Lepisosteus oculatus: one gene and its partner. The protein of the gene in region 1 interacts with the protein of each later gene in a pairwise test. Links are inferred from orthologs where the notes say so. Each region holds a gene or a part of one and is shown on either strand. Other genes may lie near its edges.

Region 1 (7,545 bases):
GACCTTAAACGAGCTGATTCTGTTTCCAGATAGGTTCAATGTTTCAAGAGCAACGTTAGGATCAAGGCAACATCCTGAAAAAATGTAAAGTATTTTTATGAGCTACAAGGTACAGTATATAGAAGATGTTTCATAATCCTTCTAATATATGAAAATAGATTGAAACTATTACTTTCTAGCACTTTTTTCTTTCTCTCACTGGTGGCAAACTTCTAACCAAATGCTAGTTTTCTAGCAAAAATCTTTATTTGAGAGTATCAGTATCCTAATTAGTAATGGTTGTCCAAATAAAACTGATTTATACAATATGAATATAAATCATTGAACGTATACTCAAACTGTAAAGATAATTTAAAACGTGAACATACTGCTCATTTGTATTTCTTACATCCATAGATTAATTGTAAAAGTCTGAACAACAAATAGTGAAGCACTACAATATAAATGTATAATTTATTGTTCATAACATACCAATTTTCTCAATTGCATTGCCAGCAACATTCAGCTCTCTCAAATTTTTGAGTGTATTTAGTCCCTGTAAACAAACAACATGGAGGAAAAAAAGTTAGCAACGTGCATGTAAAGAAGGAGATTTTTTTATTATTTGTCTTAAGTGGCAAAACGTAACCATTTCCACAAGAAAAAATAATTTAATTTGTATTTTTGTGGAAAATTATCAGTAGAAGTACAATAACAAATAAAGGTGCCAAGGTGTGGGATACCTCAATAACAGTGATAAGGTTGTTGTTCAGCCAAAGAACCTCTAGGTTCTCCAGCATCTCCAAGTTCCCAATCTTAGTGATTTTATTGTCGTATAGGAAGAGCTTCTTTAACTGCAGACAGGCTTGGAGGCCACCAATCTCCTTTGTGGAAACAAAGACAAAAAGGAGTGAATCACGAAAGCGTTTAGTTAGAATTTTGTAACACACACAGAACGCTTGTCCTTGCAGATAAGAAATGAACAATATCTGATGTACAAACAGAGTGACTGGTCTTACAATGGCGGCAGTAGAATTACCATGCCTGTTTACTTGCTTGTTAGGATTCTGATCAAGTACAAAACATATATTTTTTTGCACTAAGCCTACAAGGTGCGTCTGACAAAGTCAGTGCTTCATTCCACGGCTGATCTCCATCCGTTTTGGCGCCGACAGTAATATACTTAAAAACTAGAGGCATTAAAAAAAACAGGAAAAAAAATTGAATCGTCTCACAGTCAGCTGACATTCAACGATCCACAGCTCCTGGAGCAGGGGGCAAGAGTCCAGGCCCTCAATCCTCCCCACGCCCTGCCCCACGACAGTCAGCTGGGACAGGCGGGGGAAGAGGTGAAGCCCCACCATGCGGGGGTACCCCGAGAAGAACATCTCCAGAGCCAGGACATTGCCCCCTTCCGCGGACACCTTTTCATAGGACAGCCCATTGGCGGCACACTGTGAATGACAGGAGCAGCCCAGTTTGGTCAGATCCAGTGACTCGACATAAGCTGAATGTGTACTCTCACGCCGAGGACCATCCCAAACAGCTTCCCAGGAGTGGAACCCTGCGCGACTGCATGTTTTCGCAAAGGCACGGGAAACAGATGCCAGAGTTACTGCAAAGTATAGAAAACAACTCTGCCTCACCAGCTCTTTGATGACTTCTTCATCTCCATTTGCTTTTTGCTTGTCATTTTGTGTCATACTTTTGTCCTCCCCGCTTGGAACACTTTGATGGGAGGGCAGTTACAACATGACGGAGCTGGAAATGCAAAAGCCACAGTACAAAAAGTCTAAGAAACTTTGGAAAAGGTTTCTAGAAAAGGAAAATAACCTTCACGTTGTCACACAACTTTTAACCCTGCGAGATACATTATTTAAGCCTCAGAAACAAAAAAGAATCTCAAAATCTGTTTAACTCAGATGATCATTCTATTTTTTTGATTTTCCTCCCAATTTTGTCATTAGGGGCTGAACCTTCTGCTTCTTGGAGCCCTTTCCTGTATGGATTGTAAAAGACTTCAAAACCTTTTATTCATATTTTGATTTATTTTTCCTGCATCACTGACCAGCCCAAACAGAGGACAAAGCAAAAGGAAGAACTGTGGACGAATGCCCCATCCCCACTGTGCTTCATCCTGTCTTGCACAGGCTGGTTCTGTCGGGGTGGCATTTGAGCAGGGCCATTGTGCGGTACACACTGAAGCAATTGGCTCTACATTGTTTCAATCTCTTATTGTGTCCCCAGGCTCTTAGACTTCACTCATTGCTTTGCTCAGTTCCACTTAGGCTACCCCACAGTGCAATGCAGTATTCACAATTTCACAATACTCCTGCACCTTATTTCATTATTCTCTTCAGCAGTTTTAGTTTGCACTCAGGACAACTGGATTCCCCTGCTCTCTGTTTCTTTGTTCTCATTTTTATTTAAAGCGGACAAGAGGATCTACTTTAAAACTGAAAAAAGGCAAACAAATGAATCCACTGACCCGTTTATTTTGGGGGGAAACTGATAAAAGCTGGTCACGAATACCCACTTTGCAAATTAGTGTACCTTTAAAAAAATCGGCGATGCTTATATTACCAGTATTATTCGCCAAACTGTACTTGAAAACGTAGTGTACTAAAGCGGAATGTGTAGCTAACTAGCAAGATGTGGACAGAAAGTAGCTAAGAATGTTCCGTCTTAATTTCTGGAGATTTAAAGCTAATAAATGGACATAAAAACATATGACTTTATAACCCAGGCAAAGTAATGTAAACTGCCTTGATATTGCTACGGCTATACCTGGTCAAGTTCTAAATGTTTAGTAGCTATTACATTATTTAGAAAAATTACAGAGGAATGCTTACCCTTTTTGAAATTGCAGTTAGTATTTACTCCGTTTTCTTAAATACATTGAAAACAGCTCTTTTGTGTTGCATTTCTGGTAGTTGTAATTATTTACGCCGTTTCCAAGGAACCTGTGCGTCCCCGTTGCTCGGGAGCCATCTTGAATCCTCAATAAGAGACAATTCGTGACAGACCAGCGGTATGCGCTGTTTACTTGTTCAGGTTGGGGGGTGGTTTTCTTTCTTTAGTTTATCATTACTCACAGTGCCAGTAAGTGAAAGTGTTTGCCACTGTTAAGTATCATTGACAATTAAGTTTCGGTGTACGTATTATTAAAAGCATATAATTACACAACAATTCTATTTTTATGTAAGAAACATGATTGAAGTTTCCCAGATATTTGCTCAATAACCAATAAATGAAGTTTCCAACTAAAACCAGATATAATTACTTTAATGGCTGCAGCATTTCACGGCCCCTGTCAAATATATTGGAAGTATTTTGTATTGGAGTATTTGCTCTCTTCTGTTACAGACTAAGCATTTTATCTACCAGCAATGTTTATGTAACAGTATTAAAAGTGATCGGGCGCAAACCCGCAGTGGTATTTTTGTGAGTCTGTGTGGAATGTTTACGTTGTTTTGTCTTTTGATTTTGCTGTTGGTAAAATACACAGAGACAAAATCTTTTGGGCGAGGGGGAATACGGTACAGTATTTTGAGACGTCTGTGAGATTTGGGCTTGACTGCTCTCCTCAGGTGAGATGCTCCCGTGCAAATGTAAAAACAAAACACTCAACTGAGACTAGCTGTTTGAGGGCCCATGTGGAGTCCAGTAGGCTCCCTACAGAGTGTACAAACATGAATTTCCCAGCTGTTATCTTCGATCCCCACAAGATGCCGCTGTAGAGCTTGCATCGTCCCATGCAATCACGAGCACACACCCAAAAATTGCTGGAAAAAGGGAGCTGGGCTTTCCGGCAAATTCCAGCTACGTTTCTGGAAATCTGCATGAAAAAGTTCGTGCGCATCTCTAAGGAACCCCGCAACACGGGTTCTCGGCTATGCTTTGAAATTCCGACTTATTTCTTGGTTACTCTTCAATACAGAAAACCAGACCTTCGTCATTTCAATGATTTTTTAAATTAAATAACTACGACGACTTCCGATCCCAGCACACATCATATTTGCCGCCTGCCTCCGAATCGAAACTCACAGTTAACGCGTTTCAGTTTTTTTTTATAAGCCTGCTTATATCGGGAGGAGATGATAAAGTTGTCGTCACATATCTGTTCTGCGCCCATCACCTTTTTTTTTTTTACTTCTAACAATACCACATCCATACAGTTGTGAATGGAACTTGGGGTTGTTGTTGTTTTTTTTTAAAGAAAAACGATTAAAATGCAGTTAGCCCACACGCATATAAAGCGGTTTGAGGTAACTTGCAGAAAGACTTCGACCCAAGGAGAGAACTCTTAATTCGATCGGCTCCATCCTCTCCAGATGCAGCAGTGCAACACAGCGCACGGCTCTCCTTACGCCAAACGGTTAACAGACTGTTACTTTCCGTCCTAAATCCGTGCCTACCATAAGCCACAGATAGGGTGACGTCAGTGTCGAAACACTGAACTAAACAAGCCATTTTCACATGCGTAATGCTCGAGTAGAGTGCAAACCAGCGCTAAGACATTCACTAACAACTGCTGGCGTGCGGCACCCGTTTCGGCAGAGTGATTTATTTTTTTTCCTCCCCCTCTTCCTCCTCCTCCTCCTCTCCCTCCCGTCCGTCCGTCCGTCCGTCCTCGACCCAGCTCTTTTCTTCGTTGTGAGGTCTCACACACACACCCCACCAAGCCGGCATGTCTGCGAAGCCCAGCGAGGAGCCTGGTTCGGAGGGGACGTGGTTCGGGGAGGACCTCGACCAGCCCGACCGCTGCGGGGGGACCGTGCCCCGGTTCGGCGGGGCGGGTGCGGACCCGGGGGTGGACCAGAAGCAGGAGATCTGGAAGGATGATGCCAGCGAGCAGAAACAGCCACAGCAACCTGACGGCAGCCGGCAACAACCCCTTGTTGCCATGGAAACTGCATCTACAGGTAAAGGCTGGATGCAGGAAAACATACTACGTGCTCAAAGCCAATTAGCCGGACAGTGCAATGTGTGGTATATATATATATGTGTGTGTAGTTGAGTTTTTCAATGGCCTTTATATTTTAATGTTAAATATGACACGGATCTACAGCAGGCATTCTTCCTAGGGAAGTTAAAAAAGTGAACAAAAGACATTCGCCCGGGCACCTCTTGTCTAATAGAGGAGCTGTTTTATGGCGCTAACGTTATTTCGTAAAAGTTAACTCGTCCGCACTTGAATCGTACCGTCGCGTTGAGTATTTTTAGTCAGGAGAAATGCGGCTTGCGTTTTCGAAACAGAAAGGGAATGTTTGATTTTTTTAGAAAGTCTTTTTAGAAAATGGCTGTCGTGCTCTCCAGTAAGTTTCACGATTTAAGGTGGTGGGTCTAGCCCGTCACGGCAAAAAAAAAAAATCGTAAAGTTGCGGTGTTTTCACCGTATAACAAAGTTTCTTATTTAAGGTGTCAGCAGTTTTCCGTTGCATTTCAGACCGCGTTTTTCTCAGATATTCTCAAACCTCCATTAGTATTGGAATCTGTGAGGTAAACGGATACAGGGAGAGAAAATATGATGACTAATAATCGTGGCCTAAACACGATTATTAATAATGTTTGTATTTGTCTTTTCTTCAAGCTCGAGTTATCACTCAGTGATGTGGAAATGCAGACGGCTGCTCACAATAAATCATCATCATAATTGTGTTTGCGTCGTGCCACCTCAAGATCTTTAGTTTTCGCCTGTCGGGGGCGGGGAGGGAAAGTTTTCCCACGGCGAGGTGACACGGATTTGCGGCGTCCTGCGAGATTTTGAAGGGAACGGATGCAGTGAGTCCAGTTGTGCGTGGCAGGGCGTGTGTGAGCGTGGTTTCTCGGCTTATTGTGTGAGCTTGCAGCCCGGGTTTGGATAGGAGGTTCCTTAGAGTAGCGGCCCTGCCAGAGGGTGGAAAGTTCTTGACGGTCAGTCGGACGCAGCTCTCCTCATTTTAAAAAAGGATTGGCCTTTTATTATGAACCTGGATTATCATTTTAAAGGCTCACAGGTCGGTCAGAGACACTCGGCGTGTCGGGACCCGGTTCGTCAGACCTGGGCTTCCAGTGTGCATTAAGAAGTGCCTTTTAATTAACATCCCATTCCTGAGTGGCAAATAGCTGCAGAAAAGATGATGTGACATCAACGTTTTTTTTTTTAATTTTACAAGCCCAGTCATTTGCTAAGTTTGTTCATCTATGATGTGGGCACAATGAACCAACTGACAAAAACTAACAATAAAGGTTTCTAAAGAAATGTCTCCGTTTTTAAACCAGAGCTTGTTTTGTTCTATGAGGATCTGCATCACAAATAAAAGGAACAGGAGCTTTTAAAGTGCATTAACCGAATCCCTTTGAATTATTCAGTCACATATAGCACAGTATATTCTTGAATGAAGTCCTGTAGATTTTTTCAGGTCCCCGTGTCATCTTCCTTCATTTTAGTTTTCTTAATTTCACAATTCTTTGAAATCGCAGTCCTGTGGCTTTCATTTTTCTAAGAAGGTCAAGAAATTATTAAAGAGGAAGCTTTAAAAATGGCACGCACATCCGCAGTCCTCAGTCCCAGTGCTAGTACAGATAAAATATGCAAGCAAATGGAAAAGTTGATGTAGCTGTGTCACAGCCCCCCTTGTCTTCTGTGAGACAGGGAATGGGAAAGGGCAGCAAGGAGGCTGGGACTCTTGGGTAAATATTTTGGTGTTTGGAAATATATCAGGTCAAAGGACAGAGAGCTCATAATAGTGGAGAGATCTTCCGGAGCTCTGCAAATATCCAAACACAGGAGGAAGTAGTAGCCTCCCACAGTTTCCTCCTTTGCAGAAAAGGATTATTTTAATTGTTTTGCTCAGAAGAGGAGTGTAGTGCCTTTGCTGTTGTTCTCCCAGAAAATAGTCGGACAAAAGCACTAGCTGACAGAAACAGCAGGGATGATGCCAGCCTTCTTCACCTGGCACCGAAATAAAGGTACACATAGTGGGCATGTTGAATTACCCAACCCTGACATATGTCTGTTTGTACGTTTGTTTGGACCTGACATCAATGAAAACCAGTAGCTGAAGCGGTTAGCTTATTCCTTGCTGGGAGCCTTAGTCTTAGGCATCTTTTTTGGGGGGCTAAGCTGTTATGCTGCGATGGAGTGGGGCCCCGTTTGGGGTGTACCCTGCCTTGCGCTTGTTTCCTGCTGGGTAGGGTTAGGGTTAATGACCAAAGTGGTTTGATAAATGACATGACATACACTGTTATGTATTGTAGTTACATGTTTTAAGAAATATGTAGTCATGAGAAATTTGACTTGTTTTTATTTGGTTATCTAAAATAGATTATTTTTTTATTGAGTATGATAAATTAGTAAACTTTTAGTAAACGTGTGATTTAGACTGTTCTAATGTGGGCATAGGTCATTATGTTTTATATAAGTCCAGCTCCAGCAACATGGCACAAATTAGTGCTTTCAGTCACTATAGCCTTCACTCAGCACGAATCTTGTCATTCTTACTTGACCACTTCAGAAGACTGAGGAGGAAAAAGGGATGTGAAAACATGCAGCACCTTGTACAGCCTACTAAATCATTCAAT
Region 2 (7,075 bases), on another chromosome or scaffold:
CCAAGCCTTTCATCAATTTATTTTATAGCTCCGGGATCCTGACAGAATGTGAACCTTTTAAAACCGCCAACTGAAAACTACATTGCAAAAACGCTACAAAGGACTGATTTAGCAAATAATACGAAAGTCTGGGTCAATATTGTTCTTGAATTGGAAAGACGGACTCCCAACACTTGGGTCAGTGTGAACTGGACACCTTGGCATAAGTGCCCAACGACGAGGGAGAACGACAAAGTAGCAAAAGGTGGGAGGAGGCCTTAAAGTCCGGGGCAGTTAGAGACAGACAAAAAAAGTTGCATTCAAGAGCCCATTTAAAGCCAGTCCAAAATTCCTCCCACTCAGAAACTATCAGGTAACCCGGCTGTCACTGCATTGCGAGCGACATAGAAGCCTAGCAAAAGCATGAGAGGCAATGAGTTCCTCCCACGCGGGAAACGGCTCTAACTCTACCATGGCTGGACTCTATCATGGGTGCCTTAAATTTCAGGGTTGCATTAAAAACGGGTTGCCGTGAATTACCTTACAGTGACACATGAATGGTTACATTACGGTCCCTTTTAATCCAGTGAGTTAAGAAAAAAGAAGAAATGTAAGTCACGGAAATCAGATCAGCGTCATTCTGCGTGCCCTTTTACTTTTCAAAATACTTCAGCACGGCATGAAATTTAGGCTCTCCTCATCTGAAACGGCAATTCGGATGTACATAACGAGGGGCTTAATTTCAAGACGGTGATGGCTATAATGCAGTATGCAGCAGCTAATGCATCATAAGTGCTCAGATATCGCGTTTCACTGGGGCTGTTTGAAATGAACAGTCCAGGCTTGCAATGCAGTCCACCTACTTGCAAACAGCAGCTAAAAAAGGAAACCTCCAATTCATATACTGTATTTATGTTCTGCTTGCCAAGCACTTGGAGAAAGGGACTTGACAGAATTCACTCCCAACCTATAACTACTAGGGAAGAGGCCAACTGCACCATGTGAAAAAGAAAGACTAATTACTTACTGCTAAAAAGTGACAGGAAAGAATTTGTTTTGAGGCTATACCAGAGGGGGAAAAATGCATAATTTTCCTGTGTCTTCAAAGTGTTTCTTTGAACTCTGTGGTAGATGTACAAACCCCCACATATGAAGACACTAAGAACTAACTGGATTCTGCCTGTGTAGGAAAAAGTTTCGGAGTAATTGATAGTGTACCGAATAGAAACAAAATGATCAGCTGAGTAGCCTTTCAAAGCAAACAGTCACGACATTTACCGAGCACTCTACACATCTCAAGAAAACATGTAAAGTGCACTGTTTCTCAGGCAAAAACAGGTTGAGCAAAGACTACTGTATCAAAACGAGTCACGTCCTCTGGAAATTTCAAAACCTTCGTGAGGGGGTTGGGGGAGTGAAAGTCACACACATTTTTACTCCTTCAACGGAAACATTTTCTTATTGTTTTTAATTTCAACACAGTGCGATATCTCTTAGATTACAGCAAGACAGTGGGTAGTGGAATTCCTGGAGATCAGCTGGGCTCACATGACATTGTCATGAGTAAAAGCCTAAGAGCTGATCGACGTCAGAATCAAAAGCCAGGAACTGCAAAACACACCAGCCTACTGCTAGACTACTACTTTGACGAACATCTTAAATGTTCCGATGGCATAAATGAAAACATGTCGGTTATCTATAATGACGCACTGAGTTGTCAGACCAGAAATTGCTTGGGGTGGGTGCTGTACGTATGGAAATAAATATAGAGAATATGGAAATTTAATTCCCGTAATTCTACAGACGTCAGATATTTATATTTTGCAGTTAAGCACTCATGTCGCCTCGACTCAATCGGCACCGGAACACCGGGTCAGCTTTATCAATGACATTTCACAGCCGGATTAAGCAAACGACCTTATAAATCCTTCAAGGACGCTTTACCCCCCCAATAAAAAAATCACTGAGTATTTCGCTGGGAATCTAACCAGTTAATTAGAAAAATCCCTATTATTCACCTTCATCTGGGTGGCGTGTTCTCAGGGAAACCCGGCTATCGAGCACATCCGCTTGCTTTACCCTCTATAGGTGAATGAGAATATGTAATCACAGCAGAACCAGATCTTAATGATATTTGTTAAAGCTGATGAATAAAAAGCAACAGACTAGCACCATTCTGATGTTTTCACCAATTGCGGTGTTTAGCTTTACTACCCTAGGTGTTAGCACACCTCTCCTCTCGCTCTGGTGCAAGTCTGACAGGCACCTGATTTGCACGGCGATGGGACTGGACAGCCCGTGCTGTCCGGTTTCCTGGTTACACTGAAGTCCGAGCGCAGAGACACCGCAGGCTCGGCGCTATGGCACCGGTCCATTGTTCAAACGCATTTCGTAAACAAGCCAAAACGCACGGTTGCCTGTTCCGCCACGATTAGCCTTCACGGTTTTACCAACTACCAGACGCCGAAGCCCTGCGAGACAGGGGCTCTTTATCACAAAGCGAGCTGCCACAAATTGAGGGGACCCAAGCTCCCCCTGACCCTGCCGTGCCCCGCTTCCTTCCCCACTTGAACGTCAGCTGTTCTGCAAGATACATGAGGTCTCTTTCATTCTCGCCATGAATAATCAATAAAGCGAAATGCCCAAACCCCGAGGACCTACTACCAGTTTGGCGGCTAAGAGTACAGACAGGCCTTTGTCAGGCGGTCTGAAGTCAAAAGATTTGCGGCGCACTCGAGCCTGTAACACTTGAACACCGGAGGTGGCAAAAAAAAAAACACATCAACACACCCACAGTCAAGTACTGGAAAATATATATAAGTAAAAAAGGGCCTGGCTTACACATAGATGATGGACATGAAATGCATGAGCCACAGAACGACGAAAAGGATGAATCCGAAGATAGCGAGTCCCTGCAGGGCCAGATCCAGCAGTGCCATGTCTGTACTTAATGAACTCAAGTCCCGGCTAAGGTACTTGCTAGCGCAGCACTGAAGCGACTGAATAAGAGAAACCTTGGGTCCGCCGACACTGCGGGGAGCTAACGCAGAGCACGGGGCGTGCCCAGCCGTGGGGGGAAGGCCTATGCCGCTTACGTTTGAACTGAACCCCGTTAACGCTTTAAAGGGTGTGGTCTCGGAGGCTGTCAGGAAGACTGGGTCTGAGAGGAGAGCGATCTATCGCCCCCTTACGAGTAAAATTGTGTAGCTTTTGTGTTGCCCTTGCTTGTGCTTGCTGCGGGTGGGGGAGAGACGAACGTAATAAAACTAAATGTAACAAAAAGCCTGTGACTGGATGGAACACCCTACCTTACCGTGCAGTTGAAGCTGACACCCGAAACTAAGACTGTTCCGTTGAAAGGGTTAACTTTTTGCAGAAAAACTTGAAAAACGTCAAAGTACTTATTTAGGGCTTATTTTGTTTACCTGAGTGCTCAATAAATTTAGAAGAGATGAGATTGTCACATAAGTACATTTTAATGAGCAGTGTTTATTACACGTTGTTACGTGGTGTGTTCCACGTTTTTGTAAGGTATCACTGGAGTTTCACAGGACCTCTATTCAGGTATCACTCTTTACTACTGAATGTTAGGACGAATGTGTTAGATAAAATGTTTTCTGTGAGTGCTCATGAATATGGAAGTTGGTCATTAATTTAAACTTTGTCTAATACGCGTAAGTGTGAGCCATAAGAACATACTAAAAGTTGTTAATTATAATAACCTTTGCTAATAAAGGCCCTTCAACCCATTGAGTCTATTTGGTTCCAAATATCTACTAGGAACTAACCTGGAAAATAATGTTTATTAAACTACACTGACACTTTTATCCAAAATGACTTACGTCTAGGGTTCGGTGGCGCAATGGTTAGCCTTGCTGCTTTTCTGATTAGCAGTACTAAGGCCCTGGGTTCAATTCCTGCATTGCTACCTGTGTGGAGTTTGTATGTTCTCCCTGTGTTTGCAAGAGGTTTCCTCTGGGTGCTCTGATTTCTTTCCACAGTCCAAAAACATACTGGTATTCTATGAAATTGGCCCTGGTGCTGTGAATGTGTCTGTGTTGGTGCTCTACCATGGACTGGTGTCTCATCCAGGGTGTATCCTGCCTGGTGCCCTCTGCTTGAGGGATAGGCTCAGGCTCTGCTCCCCCGAGCCTTTCTTCTATAAAACAGGGGCTGGCACCTACCGGATTAGACAAGGGGACACAGTTCCTGATGTGGCTGCTGCTGTCCCTGTGGGACAAAAAAAAGGCCTGTGGGACACGAGGAACAATCTCATCCGGCACAATGTCAAGTGGGGAGCAAGGGAGCTGGAGGAGAGGATCCTGGCGGACCTCAGGAGGAGGATGAAGCGCGACGTTGCCAAATGGGGTTTCCCCACAGCGAGGGAGCGCTGGAAAGGACTTTGGACCCTGTACAGGGATTAATGGACAACAGCAAGTGGTAGGGTTTGGAGGGACTCTCATAATAGCGCAAATCCACCCACACTTGCAATGATTGATAACGGACAATCGCCGCCGTTCCGCCATTGTTTTTATTACGTGGAGTGTTAACATGCGTGAGATGTCTCCTTTTTTTCGGAATAAAGTATATTTTATAAGAAAAAAAAATAAAGCAGTTAGAAAATGGATGTATTATATGCAGAAACTGGGGAATCGTACTGAAGTTGACTGAGTGAAGTACCTTATTCATGGGGACAATGACAGTGCCTCACCCACGATTTGTCCACAGAACCATCCTATCACAAATCCCACACCCTAACCACTACTCCAGTGCTTGTTTTCTGCAAGCATTGCTTGTATTGTACTGACAGGAATGTTGCGGGTACAGTTCATGTTCTTAAGCATTATGTCAGTTAGCACATTAAGCAAGCTGTGAGATGTCATGGCACCTACAGTGAAATACCTTACCCAGCACATTAAAAAGTCATAAATGATCAATGTATTTTAATGGAGAATGTCCTTCGTGTTTGGCATGTACTCTTGGTAAAAAGCTGCATGTCAAGGAATAATGACATTCTTTATACCATGACCTCAATAAAATTGAATCTTCCTCTGTGTGCAGTTGGCAGCTCCTGGAGCACAAGTCACCTATGCTAAATTCCACAGTATTACGTATTATTGGATGCCAAAACAGTAGCAGAGGTTATAGCTTGTGAATATGACTGTGTATGATTTTATTTAGAAGTACAGTGGAAATATTGTCTGCATCATCAGGCAATATGTTTATCCAAAAACAAAAACATATTTTTAAGTTAATAGGCTTCTGGGAAAACTGGCCCTGGAGTGTGTGTGTGTATGTTTGTGTCTGCATGCATTGTGATGGACTGCTGTCCCATTAACACTGTATCCTGTCTTGTGCCCATTGCTTGCTGGGATAGGCTTCAGCCCCCCCTCCCCAACCCTGAATTTGAAGAAGCGGTTTGAAAATGAATGAATGCAAGAAGATAAATGAAGGAAAATAAATTGTACATCAGACATTTCTCCTATGGATATTTTCCTCTACAGTTTACATTTTTGTGCTCCGTATTTTTTAATTGTCCGCTTACTGCAGTGACAATCTGATGCAATGACACACAAGCACTTATCTCCAAGAGTCATTTAAGAACAGAAAACTGTTCATTCTTATTGCAATACTTGACAATAGAATCAGGAAGGAACAGGGCTCTGAGCTGTATTTGACAATTTGTGTATCGTTTTGTGGGGAAGCAATTAAAAATGAAAATAATATGTTAGAATATATAATTAGAAGTTAAGCATTTAGTCAAAAATGTGTTATTTTCTTATTGATCTTAAAATTGTACAATGTCTAGGAAACTGTCTTCTAGAATATTATGCACAAGTTTCATCACAACATTGCAAAAATTAAAATTGCTGCTCTTTGAACACTTCAAAGAAGAGTGACCAGATATATTCCTAGGCATAAAGGAATGTTAGTGACAGGCTAAAAGAAACAAATCTTTTTAATCATGAAAAGAGAGGTGTATGGTATGTCATTTGCCATCCGCGCTATACCATATGGTGTCACAGGAAGCCGGAGCCTACGAGCACAAGGCAGGGCACATCCTGAACAGGGTGCCAGTCCATCGCAGGGTAAGTGCAAGCCAATCATACATGGGGACAATTCAGAGGCCACAGAAAAGGCCCTACTTTTATTGAGAAATGCCCAGTGATCTTTAATGACCACTGAGAGCCAGGACCTCAGTTTAACTTTCCATCCATAAGACAGTGCCCACTACAGTACAGTATAGTATAGTGTCCCCACCACTATATCAGGGCATTAGGAGCCACACAGACCGCAGGGTGAGCACCCCCCACTGGTCCCATTAACACCACTTCCCACAGAAACCATAGCTTCCCAGGATGTCTCCCAGCAAGGAACTGACCAGGCTCAGCCCTGCTGAGCTTCAGCAGGTAGCCAGTTGAGAGCTGCAAAGTGATATACTGTAACTGCTGGCTGGTGTATGACATGACCTGATTAAAGTATTTTAAATCCCAAAATGGGTTTGTTCAGAATCAACACAGAAATGGTAATCACATAACAAAAGTGGAAACTAAGAAGAAATGTAAGTTTTTACCCACAAGGGTTTGTGGGATACTGTAAGATGTTACTCTGAGCTTTTTTCGAGAAAATATAAGATAAAGATAACAAGACCCTTTGATCAGTTAGCAATGACAACTGGGTAACCCCCTCTCATTTCTTATGTTCGTAATAATAAATAGTACACTGTTATCTTATTAGAAAAAAATACTGTACATTAACTGAAACATTACTTGAAAACAAGCTCTTTATTCTCCCTGTGACCAAAGTGTGGCCAGATTTCCCTCCATAATAGAATGAATTAGATGTGCCTACTTGCCCATTCAATGCCCACAGGGAAAACCATTGCCTATGAATTTAAGATTTTGTGACATGGTCTATACAGAAAATCTTATTATTCATTTCAGATCGTGTTCTTTTTTATGTTATATTTGCAAACACAAAAGCATGCAGTTCTTGTGAAAATACCTGAACAGCACAAATGAAGATAAGCCATTATGAGACACAGAGTACAGCATTTACATCCATGGTTTTAAATTAAATGGCATTGCAAGTAAAG

The links. The genes of interacting proteins can lie anywhere in the genome.
Region 2: the proteins of rtn1a (region 1) and ugcg interact in a two-hybrid assay, tested with the Homo sapiens proteins (2 studies listed by BioGRID and IntAct). The link is inferred for Lepisosteus oculatus from reciprocal best matches to the Homo sapiens genes RTN1 and UGCG.

What each region holds. Positions count from the first base shown.
Region 1 is NC_090703.1:7,146,652-7,154,196, reverse strand, and holds the start of rtn1a (reticulon-1a), read left to right. Parts: upstream 1-4,485; 5' UTR 4,486-4,669; coding exon 4,670-4,904; intron 4,905-5,670; exon of another isoform or gene 5,671-5,763; intron 5,764-7,545. Other genes in the region: lrrc9 (leucine-rich repeat-containing protein 9), read right to left, coding at 4-74, 472-535, 723-863, 1,215-1,433, 1,626-1,682. UniProt on the Homo sapiens protein: Inhibits amyloid precursor protein processing, probably by blocking BACE1 activity.
Region 2 is NC_090698.1:63,931,347-63,938,421, forward strand, and holds the start of ugcg (ceramide glucosyltransferase), read right to left. Parts: upstream 3,080-7,075; 5' UTR 2,919-3,079; coding exon 2,821-2,918; intron 1-2,820. UniProt on the Homo sapiens protein: Participates in the initial step of the glucosylceramide-based glycosphingolipid/GSL synthetic pathway at the cytosolic surface of the Golgi.